Canis lupus familiaris: one gene and its partners. The protein of the gene in region 3 interacts with the protein of the main gene of each other region in a biochemical or structural test. Links are inferred from orthologs where the notes say so. Each region holds a gene or a part of one and is shown on either strand. Other genes may lie near its edges.

Evidence for each region.
Region 1: the proteins of RALBP1 (region 3) and DLG4 interact in a biophysical measurement, tested with the Homo sapiens proteins (2 studies listed by IntAct, with this or other methods). The link is inferred for Canis lupus familiaris from reciprocal best matches to the Homo sapiens genes RALBP1 and DLG4.
Region 2: the proteins of RALBP1 (region 3) and SYNJ2BP form a complex in vitro, tested with the Homo sapiens proteins (2 studies listed by BioGRID and IntAct, with this or other methods). The link is inferred for Canis lupus familiaris from reciprocal best matches to the Homo sapiens genes RALBP1 and SYNJ2BP.

The regions. Positions count from the first base shown.
Region 1 is NC_049226.1:32,393,065-32,397,305, reverse strand, and holds the start of DLG4 (disks large homolog 4), read left to right. Parts: upstream 1-1,441; 5' UTR 1,442-1,567; coding exon 1,568-1,736; intron 1,737-2,411; exon of another isoform or gene 2,412-2,507; coding exon 2,508-2,606; intron 2,607-2,807; coding exon 2,808-2,848; intron 2,849-3,730; exon of another isoform or gene 3,731-3,887; coding exon of another isoform or gene 3,888-3,917; intron 3,918-4,241. Other genes in the region: ACADVL (very long-chain specific acyl-CoA dehydrogenase, mitochondrial), read right to left, coding at 123-257, 368-432, 514-586, 675-740, 1,013-1,088, 1,165-1,226. UniProt on the Homo sapiens protein: Postsynaptic scaffolding protein that plays a critical role in synaptogenesis and synaptic plasticity by providing a platform for the postsynaptic clustering of crucial synaptic proteins.
Region 2 is NC_049229.1:44,347,995-44,352,144, reverse strand, and holds the start of SYNJ2BP (synaptojanin-2-binding protein), read left to right. Parts: upstream 1-1,350; 5' UTR 1,351-1,390; coding exon 1,391-1,454; intron 1,455-4,150. UniProt on the Homo sapiens protein: Regulates endocytosis of activin type 2 receptor kinases through the Ral/RALBP1-dependent pathway and may be involved in suppression of activin-induced signal transduction.
Region 3 is NC_049228.1:75,593,877-75,597,310, reverse strand, and holds the end of RALBP1 (ralA-binding protein 1), read right to left. Parts: intron 3,302-3,434; coding exon 3,180-3,301; intron 2,735-3,179; coding exon 2,611-2,734; intron 2,387-2,610; coding exon 2,147-2,386; 3' UTR 501-2,146; downstream 1-500. UniProt on the Homo sapiens protein: Multifunctional protein that functions as a downstream effector of RALA and RALB. As a GTPase-activating protein/GAP can inactivate CDC42 and RAC1 by stimulating their GTPase activity.

The DNA.
Region 1 (4,241 bases), on a different chromosome or scaffold from region 3:
AGTCAACATCACACAGGCCCCCCCTTAACTGACAAACCTAAACCCTAGGTCACATGAGGAAGGCGCTTAATCAGCAATGTTGGAATAGCCTGCGATGCTGGCAGTGACCAGGGCTCCCTCACCTGGGTGTTACAGAGGCCCACACCACCCAGCTCGCTGGGTACTTGCAGACCAAAGGCCCCCAGCTCCTTGAGGCCTTGCAGTGTGGTCTCCTCCACCTTCTCCAACGTGTCATTCTTGGCAGGATCGTTCACTTCCTGGAGAAGGCACAGGATGTCGCATCCAGGTTCCTTTCTGGCTGCTGAACACCTCTGCCATCCCATCAGGGACCAAAGCCCTCTGTTCCCCCACCCCAGTCCTTCCTCACCTCAAAGAAACGGGACACAGGCCCCACCAGTTCTTTGAGAAACTGGGTCTGCTCCTCACTGAGTACTGTGGGGGAGAAGGACAGGCTGGTCAGGTCACCGGGGAAGTGGAGAGGCCCTGCCCTGCCCCGCCCCGACGACTACTTACCAGATGGGTAAGGGAACACCTGATCGGTGGTGAGCTGACCCTTGAACATCCCCGCAGCAAAGGACTTGGATTCCTGCTCAGGGAGAAGGGGGTTTCAGCGAGCTGTCTGCTGCAGTGGGTGAGCCCCTGGCCTAGGTCCTCCCGGTATGGAGGCCACGTACCGCCTTGGCCTGCTTCTCTCTGGTCGGAGCCTCAGAGGAGTGGGAATCTGACTTCTCCAGAACCGCCTGGGGAAAGGGACAGTTAGCGAGGCCCGGTAAGGGACTCCCGAGGAGCTGGAGACCACGGGAAGCGCTGGGTGCGGGCGGAGGCGGACGCAGCGACCTTTCCCCTACTTCCATCGTCAGGGCACCCTGGCCTGCCCTTTCCCCTACTTTCGGCGCTACCGCGGGCGCCAGGTGTCCGGGACGGAGAGGGAGACCCCTGCCGGCGGCGGGGAAGGGGGAGCCGAGGCGGACTCCGCCTCCCGCTCTGCGCGCCCCAGGCCGCCGTCACTCACCTGAGCGGCCCCACTGGCATAGGGTCGGCAGGCCGGACCGGGCAGGGGCTGCCCCAGGAGCGCGCTGGGCCGCGAGCTGTGGGGAGCGGGGGCTCAGTCCGGGTCCCCGGTCCCGCTGCCACCCCGGCCCTGCCCTCCTGTCCGACTCGCACCTTCCGACCCCCAGCCTCCGCAGCTGCCGCCCCACGCTCGGGGCCATCCGTGCCGCCTGCATCTCCCAACCACTCCGGTCGCCGCGGTCCTGAGCGCAGATCTAGCGCCGTCCACCCGTCTGCCAAAGACTGGCTGCCCTGGTCCGGTCTTGACTCATCGTCCACAATGCACCGGGGGGGCTGGGCTTCCGGCCGCCAGCGCATGCTGGGAGATGTAGTTCCGGGGCGGGGCCTCCCCCACCCCGCCCCTGCATTCTGGTTAACGTAGGGCTATCTCCAGACGTTTCCGTCTCTCCCAAACGCCTTCGTCCCACCCGGCCCAGCTCGAGTGTAGCCCTCGGAAGGGGCGATGGGATAGGCTGGGGTGGAAGGAGGAGCAGCTCAGGCTTTTGCAGCCGGAGGGATGGAGGGTGGGCCAACAGGAGGACTTCCCCGGTGGAGTTGGAAGGGAGAGGTGGGAGAAAAAAAATGTAAGACGGCGGAAGCAGGGGCAGATGACTCTATGGAGTCCCTTGTGAAACCCATCTCCATCAACACGAGAGGGAGGGACATGGTGGCGTGGGGCGGCCCAGGTATATTCTCCTGAGACCTGAGGTGTCACTAACTTTAGAAACACCTGAATTCTCACCGTAGGGCCCTCCCCTCCCTTCCCCTCTGCAAATTCACCGCCTCCCCATTGGGGCGCTGGAGTCTCTGCCCTTGTTTCCTCCTGAGACTGTGTGACATCCTGGACTCTTCCCAGGGGGAGTGGAACTGTAGGGATTCTTCTGTCGCCCACTCTCACCACACACACCTAGCTCTGGGTCAAGGAGTCCCAGGTCATGTATAGGTCATGTATACCCCTGCCCTGCTGACACACCCAGTGGGGAGAGGCCTGGGCTGGGGCTGCAGGAGCCTCCTTGGGGACACCCCTCCACCCCCACCCCCGTCCCCAGTGCCCAGTCCCTCTGGAAAGTGCAGCAAACTCACCCCTGGCTTTGGGAAGAGAGACCATTGTGCCAGGCGACCCAGGGGGTTAGGACAGGACTGCCCACTTCGGTGGCTAAAGGCTAAAGGCTGGAACCTGGTGGGGAGGCAGCTCAGCTCCAACCCTGGGGATTAGGGAGATTAAAATCAGAGAAGAGAGATGTCCGAGAGACCCAGAGGTGAAACTGGAGAGTCCCATGGAGGAAAGGCCTGGGGGCGGAGCCGAGTGGGGCTGGGACTTGAGGACCCTCCTGCTGATCCTTCCCCACCCCACTTAAGCCCAGGGAGAGGGGACAGGCTAGGGGAGGTGAGTGAGCCGCGCCTTGGTCCATGGGTCTCTTCCCCATCCCATTCCTCCCTCGCTTGCATTTCACCAGCTCCCCGGTCAGCCCTCTGGCTCCTGGCCCCCCCACTGTTGCGATGGGCGCCCCCTCTCTTGGCTGTCCTGCACAGTGACCTCTTCCAGGCCCTGCTGGGTGAGTAGCCCTGATTCTCTGGGGACGCTGGGGTGCGAAGGGCTGGCCTGGGCCTGCCAGGGCAGTGAACACACTTGGGGGACTGTCCGGTTGGCAGCCAGGAGGCCCTAAGGTGCCAGCAGCAGTCAGGGCAGGGGTGGGGGCAGGGGAGCCCCCCCAGGTGGGGTGGGGGAGGGTAACTCAGCTGTATTCTGGTGACAGACATCCTGGACTATTATGAGGCTTCCATCTCAGAGAGCCAGGTAAGGGGGTGAGGTGGGGCGCCTCCCCAGAGGGGCAGACAGGGCAGGGGCCGAGCTGCCGCCCCACCCTTGGGGGCCTTGAAGACAGACTTCTGAGCCCGGGGTGCAGAGAATCCCAGACTCCACGGTCCTGTTGGTCCCTTTCCCCTTCTGCTTCCCCGCCCCCCTCCTCCCTTGGCCCCAATTTCGGGCATAAGGAGTCCAGCACAGAATTACTTCTCATCCTTCCTCCTGTGCAGCCTGAGGGAGAGCTGCCCCCCCACCGGACTCCCCCCTGCCTGCCCCCCCAGACCCCCCCTCCCGCCAGCCAGCACTGCAACTAGCATGGGTGCTGCCAGCCCCACAGCGGGTGCTTCCTCTCCTGAGACCCAGGAGGCCTCCTGATCTCTGGCGCTGGTGCCTGGCCAGGCCTCCATCTTTGCCTTGGGGCCTGTCTGCCTCCGCTCTGCTCTCCTCTCCCATTATCCGGGTTCCTGCCAGCACTGAAGCAGTTAACTCTGCCAAGGCACCCCCCCATCCTCGCTCCTCGCTCCCTCCCTCCCTCCCCCTGCTTCCTCTCTCCTCCTCTCTCCCCTTCCCTCCTCGGCTCCACGGCTCCCTCGGCCGCTGCCGCCTCCAACCCCCCCACCCCACTCCCCCGCCGCGGCCCTAGCCCCTGGCCGGCAGGCAAGACCCCCCCCCTACCCCGGGGCTCCCTGAAATCCAGTTCCCCTCCCCCACCCAGCTCATGCCCCAGCCCCCGAACTCCGGGGCTGCCAGCCCCCGGTGCCCCCGCCCCTCCTGAGAATCGGGGTGTGCTCCCCAGGCCCCCTCCCCTCCACTGGGGACTCCCTTCTAGGGCCCCCTTCCCCTCCCTCCCACGCACCCCTCCCCTTCCCTTCTCCAACCCCCTCTTTCCCCTCTCACCCCTCCCCCCATCCTGGCCCCCCCTGCAAAAGTGGGGTGCGGAGGGGGGAGGGGTGAGAACCCACAGAGGGGAGGAACGAAACTCCGATGAAGTCAGAGCCCCTTACCCGCCGCCGCGGCCAGCCCCCCCAACATGGACTGTCTCTGTATAGTGACAACCAAGGTAAGCACGATAGGGGGGCTCTCAACTGGGGGGAGGGTATGAGTTTGTGGGGAGGGGTTAGGCAGGCCTGATCTGGGGCTGGGGGCTGGGAGTGTACTGGGGGGTCATGATTTACTTTGGGGGTTCACATTTGAGATCATGCTAGGTTTGGCCACAGGTGCCCCCTGGAGTGATCTCTTTGTACCTGTAGAGAAATGGAAAATTTGGGCTGTTTTGTGGTTTGGGGGGGCTGATGGGTTTTGGGGTTCACCAATGATGTTTGAGGGAGACTTATTTAAGGAGAAGCCTGGCTCACATGGGAGTCCTGCTCTTGTGCATTAGAAG
Region 2 (4,150 bases), on a different chromosome or scaffold from region 3:
TCAGCATAATTCCTTCCAGTTCCATCCACTTCGAAGCAAACGGTGGGTATTTGTCGTTTCTAATGGCTGAGTAATATTCCATTGTATACATAAACCACATCTTCTTTATCCATTCATTTTCCGATGGACACCGAGGCTCCTTCCACAGTTTGGCTATTGTGGACATTGCTGCTAGAAACATCGGGGGGCAGGTGTCCCGGCGTTTCATTGCATCTGTATCTTTGGGGTAAATCCCCAGCAGTGCCATTGCTGGGTCGTAGGGCAGGTCTATTTTTAACTCTTTGAGGAACCTCCACACAGTTTTCCAGAGTGGCTGCACCATTTCTCAAGTTCTGTTTACATTCTGATATGGGGCTTTCAAGGGCATTGAGCTCTGTTCTTATTCTAATATGGGGCTTTCTAGGACGTTAAGCTTTAAGCTGTTTTCTTCCTGTAACTGAAGTAAGGTAAAGTTCGGCTCTTATTCACAGGGGCCTGGGATGGCTGTACTCGTGCTGACACTGAACTTAGAGTGGAATGGCCTTAATATTCTCGGCCTCCACAGACCCGACCAACCTGAGCTCAGGGCCCGGCCAGATATCAAGAGTTGGAGGATTAAAGGACTGAGCCACCTAGGTACCCCTCCTTTGTCTCTTCTATATATACATACAATTTTCTAAAAGCCCAAAAGCCTCTTGTGAGGTACAAGTCTCTGAAATGTAAATATCAAGGAAGATAGTGCCCCGTCTCCCCTCACCCGTAGGAGTTACCGCCTCAGCGCCTTGCTCCAAGCTTTTAAGTACCTGCTTGTCATAGTTTTATTTTCCTTTTGGATCACGGCAATTCAGTAACAAAGTGGGTGGCCACTACAGGGGCGACTTACCGAAGAACGAATACAGCAAACTCTTACACGAGAACGCGCATCGAACGGATGGTACCTGCCCGGCTACTTCGTGCTCTGCAGTCGCATTAGCGGCAACGCCTGGCACGCCCCTCCTCCCACTCGGGTCTCAGGATTACTGAGTAACAGAACTTATTTCCCACCCCCCACACCCAGGTTTGTAGCGATTTTCTAAGATGTCAGGAGATTTCATGTTTAATTTCTCCTCACCAATATCAACTGAGTGACCTCGACGACGCCCACTCCCGACGGTAAAGGAGGACGGCAAGCGGCTCGTCGCTCACCTCAGAGCTGGCGGCGCGGACCCGGGCGAGGTAAAGATGGCGGGCTGGCCGCCCGAACCACGACTCCCAGCATGCCCCGCGCTCCCAGCGCGCCCGCCTTCCTCTTCCGGTCCGCGGGCTGCTGAAACCGAAAGCGTTGTGCCTCGGGTGGCGCGCAGAGATTGGTTCACCTTCACCTGCGCGAGTCCCAGCCGACCCGGGCGCGGAGCCGGCCGAGCGGTGAGACATGAACGGAAGAGTGGATTACTTGGTCACTGAGGAGGAAATCAATCTTACGAGGGGACCCTCGGGTACGTGCGCACAGGTGGTCTCCGGGAGCAGGGTGCTTGAGGTTGTAATTGCGGAGCAGACAACCTCCTCTGCTGAGCCCCGGTTGGTTTGGCCTTGGAGCAGACAGGCCCCAGCCTAGAGGTTCCCTGCGACGCTTTGAGCACGTACAAGACCATATTGGCATCCTTCGTTAGCCGGACCCGGATCCGAGGAATCCACCTCATTTTTCAGTCGGATTGTCACATGTATTTATAGTCAGGGAGGTTTTCCTTGGCGGGCAAATTGTACCAGAAAGTTCTGCCCCAAGCCTGCTTTTTTAACACCACACCCCTCCTTCCGTTGCCTGCTTTTTATCCCTGTTCCCGTGAGGACCTGTTTAGTGAAAAATGGGAGCGTACACGGTGTTGACTGTAAACGCATGGCCGTTTTTTGTGTTTTTGTTTTTGTTGTTTTTTTAACTGCTGGAATCTCCCCTCCTTCTTTTCATTTTTTTGGGAAATTCATTTAGAGTGTCGACTGGAATGCTAAAACGCTAAGAAACCTTAGAGATCTGCCACAGCACTTTTTAAAGCTTACTTGGGCCTCAATATTACCCAGGGTTTCTCGGTTATGCTTTTGCTTTAAAAAAAAAAAAAAAATTTCCTAGGTCCCATCTCTTAGGAAATTGGATTCAATGCAGGTTTTGTTTGTTTGAGTTGTTTCTTCTCTCTTTTTTTTTTTTCTTTTTTTCAAAACAAGCACGTCCTGTGATTCTGATACCGCTAAATCCTCACTTAGCTTTCAGTCATCTTTCTCCTCAAACCCCTGTGTTTCCGCCAACGCTCTCACTCCACTGGGCTCTTAACTCATTATATGCAGCCTGCCTTGGGTTTTGTTGCCTCCCCTTACAGCTGTCTACTGATTTAAGAGCTTTGGCTCCGGGATTATGTAGATCCATCTGGCATCTAACCTCTTAATAGAACTTTGACATCGGTTGTCTGCCTAACTCTCCTGATAGAAGCTAAGCCTTAGTTTCTCATCCGTTAAAATGTGCGTGATAATAGAATATATTGCAAAGGGTTATGAGAATGAAATGAGTTAATCTATGTAAAACGTTCAGAACATTGCCTGACACCCTAGATAGCACTGTGTGTTTGCTTCCATTGTTGTTATTATTAATAGATGAATAGCTAGATTAGCACAAAAATCCTGCTAAATACTGTTATTCCAAGAGTCATCAAGTAACATGAGCTCTAGTTCTGAAATGTTTCCATAAATCTCTGCTCCTTTTGGCTCCATTACCATTTACTAGAACAGTCCATCATCTTGTCTCATGTGGAATTGTGCAATATCTTGAATACCACTTAGAGACTGTTCTTCATAAAATATACCTTTCAGAATCATCCGTACTTTGCCTTTTTTCTTGTCATAGAAGATTGGAAGTCAGCTTCACTTATGGATGTAATTCATTCTAATCTGCATGACTTAATGTCCTGCTTCAGAGGAGCACCTAAATGTTTGTTGAATGCTCATTCAGTATGCCCAGTTTTTTTGACTCCTTTTTCCTACTTTATGTAAATTTCTCCTCTTTTTTTTTTTTTAAGATGTTATTTATTTATTTATTTGAAAGAAAGAGCACAAGCAGGCAGAACCAAAAGGAGAAAAAGACTTTGATGAGCAGGGAGCTCGACAGACGGGTCAATCCCAGGACCCTGGGATCATGCCCTGAGCTAAAGGCAGACGCTCAACCGACTGAGCCACCCAGGTGCCCCTCTCCTCTCACTCTTCATATTTATTGACTTCTGAAGCTAATATGGAAAAGTATTGTTAAGCCAAATCTGCATTCTTATACTGTTCATCCACTGGTTCTTGTTCCTAGGGCCAGTTAAAACAATGCTAGTTCCTTTTCTGATTATCCTGCAAGTATTTAAAGACATCTAGTTGTTCTGCTCCTGTTTTGTCTTTTTCCTCTATAGCCTCAGTATCCCTAATTATTATATTAGCTGCCTTGATGTGATTTGGGATTTGATTCGTGTCTCCTAAGAATTTAATGTACTTTGACATAATTCTTTTGCTGTGGCATCCACAGCAGAGCAGAACTCTGATATTATCTTGGGTGTTCAAGTCACTGAATATATTTTTAAAGTTCAGTGTAATATCACTTCACCTTTTCTGGAGTTTGCATAGTAGGGTTGACTAATGTTCAGCTCACTATTCTCCAAAATTTCTGATCCTGCTGATCTTTGAAACCTAAAGTTCTTAGTGTTGACATTTTTCTGAATCATTTGAGTTAGGACAAACTTCAAGGAACTAATTAAAAAGAGTAATTACATCTAGTTAATATATTTCCCTCAAAAGTAGTTTAGTTTCTTTTTTTCCTTTTTTTTTTTTTTTTAACAGTCTTTTATTTATTTATTTATTTATGATACGGAGAGAGAGAGAGGCACAGATACAGGCAGAGGGAGAGGGAGAAGCAGGCTCCATGCACCGGGAACCCAACGTGGGATTCGATTCCGGGTTTCCAGGATCTCGCCCTGGGCCAAAGGCAGGCGCTAAACCGCTGCGCCACCCAGGGATCCCAGTAGTTTAGTTTCTATAGTATATGTATGTTTATTCACAATGAATATTTATTTACCAGGTGACTCCTTTAATTTTCCTAAGTATTTTCATGTCTTACTCCTGTAAGTTGATAAATTTAAGAGTTTAGGAGAATGGAGTCACAAATTTAGGATTGAAC
Region 3 (3,434 bases):
GCATCTCATCAAAAGGGGGGTTACTGTCAGAAATCAGATGCCCAAACAGAGTCACTTATGCTAAGCCCCATGTGGGCAAACACAACGTGATGATAGGTTCAGCTCTCCCAGCAGTGGCGTCATAACCAATGCTAGTTAGATGATCAGACGCCCCTGCCAGCCCCTAAAGGAAAAGGACTTTGCAATAACCGACCTGCTATATTGCCAAGTTGGGCTGACTGCCCCGTGCATGGTTTCGAAGGGCACTTTCCGCTGTAGGCAGGACGTCGCTCGCAGAGCCAGCCACAGCCCCGATCCTGGTCAGCAGCCGGCACCCACTCGAAGCACAGCGAACCCTAGCAATGGGCAAGGGGCATCCGGTCCGAGTGAGCAGCAGGCAGCGAGTTAAACCAAAGGTTAGTATATGCTTGGACCTTCAAGAAGGTAGCCCACCAACTCCTTGCCAGCCGTGGGACACTAACTCCTACAAAGAGAGAATGTGTACAAAAAAGACACTGCTGTTTTTTTCCTCAAATGGCTGTTGAATTTATTTGCTTGATCAATAATGGTCCTGGCAAAAATTAGTTAACCAATGCTGAGACAACTGTAATGAAATACTAATTTTAAAAATCCATGACACCTTGATAGAAATTAAGAGTTTACACAAACAAAAAAGAAACCTTCAATATTGCCAGCAAATATGAAATGAATGTAATATGACCGACAGGACAGCAAGAAGGCTTTTATACGTTTATATTTGACACCTGACCATATCTGCAGTCACCATAATATCTTCTCTCCAGATTTAAAAAAATAGTATGCTGATTTCTATAACAAAGCTTTTTCTCGTACAAAAATCAAACAATGGCCAACAAGTCACAACAGTGCAATAGGTAGAGAATAAAAAAACCGCATCAAACAGGTGCTGAAAATAAATAGTAACTAGGAGAGGACAGAGCCCTCGTGGGGGTTTGTTTCCATCACCTTGAGTGTGTGGGGTATGTCTTCACAGCCATGAGAGCTCACCTACCTCATGGGTGCCGTTTACTCAGACAGGGTGACCGATCCCAGGTGCCTGAGAGCTGACCTCCCAGATGCCTCAGTCACCAGACAAGCTGTAGAAGCAAGAGGACGGGGTCAGGGATCACAGCTATCACTTAAAGGGAAAGTGTTTTTCTATTGCTCAATCTCGTCAATCGGGAGTCCATCAGCAGGTTCGCGGAGATGATACAGGGAACTGAAGACTTGTGTTTAAGAGCATATATGGCTTATTCAGGCAAAGAGACTTTTACATTCTAGCCCAAGCAAGCAATCTACGTCCTTCTGTGTTTAATGGCAGGTCAGACAGATTTCTGGGTTAAGCAACAGATCCTCTGCATGAACGTCTTAGGTCAGGCAGCTACCTTCGACCGACCCAGTGAAAAGCACGCGCTGATCACCAGCAGCGAGGAGCCGGCAGGAGGAGGCGGCCACGCGAGCCACGCTGCCTGGGGCGGGCAGGCAGGCTCCCCTGGCAGTTCTGTCTGTGACTGGCTGGGCCATCCCGTGACTCAGGCCCATGGACTGTGGTTTAGGACTGTCAGAGGAGAGGGTGACAGGGTGGGTAAAGGTAACCTCCATAAGAGCCATTGTGGCCAGTCAGGAAATATGAGGCAGCTCCCCATTATATAATCTGCACCGGAAAGGTGTAAAAGGCACAAGCAGGAGTGACTAGTAAGCAGAGATCCCGGACGGTGAGGCTATGGGGCAATCCACAAGGCGGAAACAGTATTTACCTTGTTTGGCTCTCCCCCACCCCCACCCCGAACGAGAGGAAGAGATCCTGATTCTGCTATAATAAAAAAGCAAAGAAAGACAATTTTTGGTTTAAAAAGAAGCCACTCAAGGGTTAAAATAGTTTTAGTTAACAAAATTAATCTTTAAATAAGCTGACACTATCTGGAAATCTCATCTGTCCCCTACAAGCCCACAATGCGTGCACTGCTCTGTCCTCCTGTGTAACCTGAGCCTGACGCGGAGAAGTCATACGTGTGAGAGAAGGAAGAGTCTGAGAAGGAAAGACATCTTTACAGAATGTACAGCGGAGAGTTGTGCACTCTGACTCTCGGGATTACAGTAAGATGCACAGGTCTCGTCGGGTCTGGAGGTTCCGTGACGCTCGGGCCGCTCAGATGGGTGTCTCCTTTCTGTCTCTGCTTGGTGACGGCTTGGCCTGCTCCTTGCCTGCCTTCGGCTGCTCCTTAGCTGCCTTCACCTCCAGGGCGCCGTCTCTGGGCGGCTCGTCATCGTCCTGTCCCTGCGGCTCGGGCCTGGCTCGCTGCAGCTGCAACAGGCGGAGCTGTACCCGCAGTTCGATGATGGCCTCCCGCTCCTCGTGAACCGCCTGATTCAAGTGATTGTTCTTTATCTGGAGGGGTGACAAGAGAACAGCTGTCACTTAAGAAGGTCAAGATGACAATGATTCAGGAACAGAGAACGGCTAGTGGGGGCCTCCTACACAGGAATCTGTTCTCTGGGGAAAGGTCCCCTAAATTCCTCTCTACTCAGCTGCCTCACTGTTTCCCAAGGAAAGGAAGACCACTTCCAAGGGGAAGAGGTGGCCTCTAGGAGTTTCTGGAAGCTGGTGCTTACTTCTAGCTCTTCATTCTGCCTCTGTAAGTCCTCCAGGATGATCTGCAGCTCCTCTTCATCCTCACTCTCACTCTCACTGTCAGAGGAGTACTCCTCGGTCTCACTGCGGCCATGCTGCTGACGGCTGCCAAGAGAAAAGGACCAGTGATCAGAGGAAGGAATGCTGCTCCCTCCCCACCCTTCCTTTAGATTCACCAGGTTTCCTTGAATTTGCTTAATACAGCACCATTCTTAAGACTTAAGAAGAAACTCAGGGCCACCTGGGTGGCTCAGTCAAGTGAGCTTCTGACTCTTGGTTTCAGCTCAGGTCATGAGCTTGGGGTCACGGGATGGAGCCCAAGGGCTCTGTGCTCAGCAGAGAGTCTGCTTCGGATTCTGTCTCCCCTGCAACTGCATGCACACACTCTCTCAAATAAATAGATTTTTTAAAAAGAGAGAAAAGAAGAAACTTAAAAATGACTGATTCAGATGCCTAGTTCTTGCATATGAAAGTCTGAGAGCTGAAACAATTTTATGTTTATATTTCAGTAAACATTCTTGCAAACTCAAAACCTTCCGCTTTCCTTTACCTCTGAATTTCAGCAATCTCAGCTCTGAGGCGTTCAATCTCTTCTTTTTCTGAGGCAATCTGACGGCGCAGAAACTGCTCCATGGCTAGAAGCTCTTCCTGTTCAGTCAGGATCTCATTCTCCTGAAATAACAGTTACTGGATGAACACCTTTGAGAGTATGAGTCTAAGAAATGTCACTTTTCTGGGGTCCCCTATGTTCCCTTGAATCCTTTAGCCCCATACATACATAACACAAGTTATGAGAAAGCTTGTA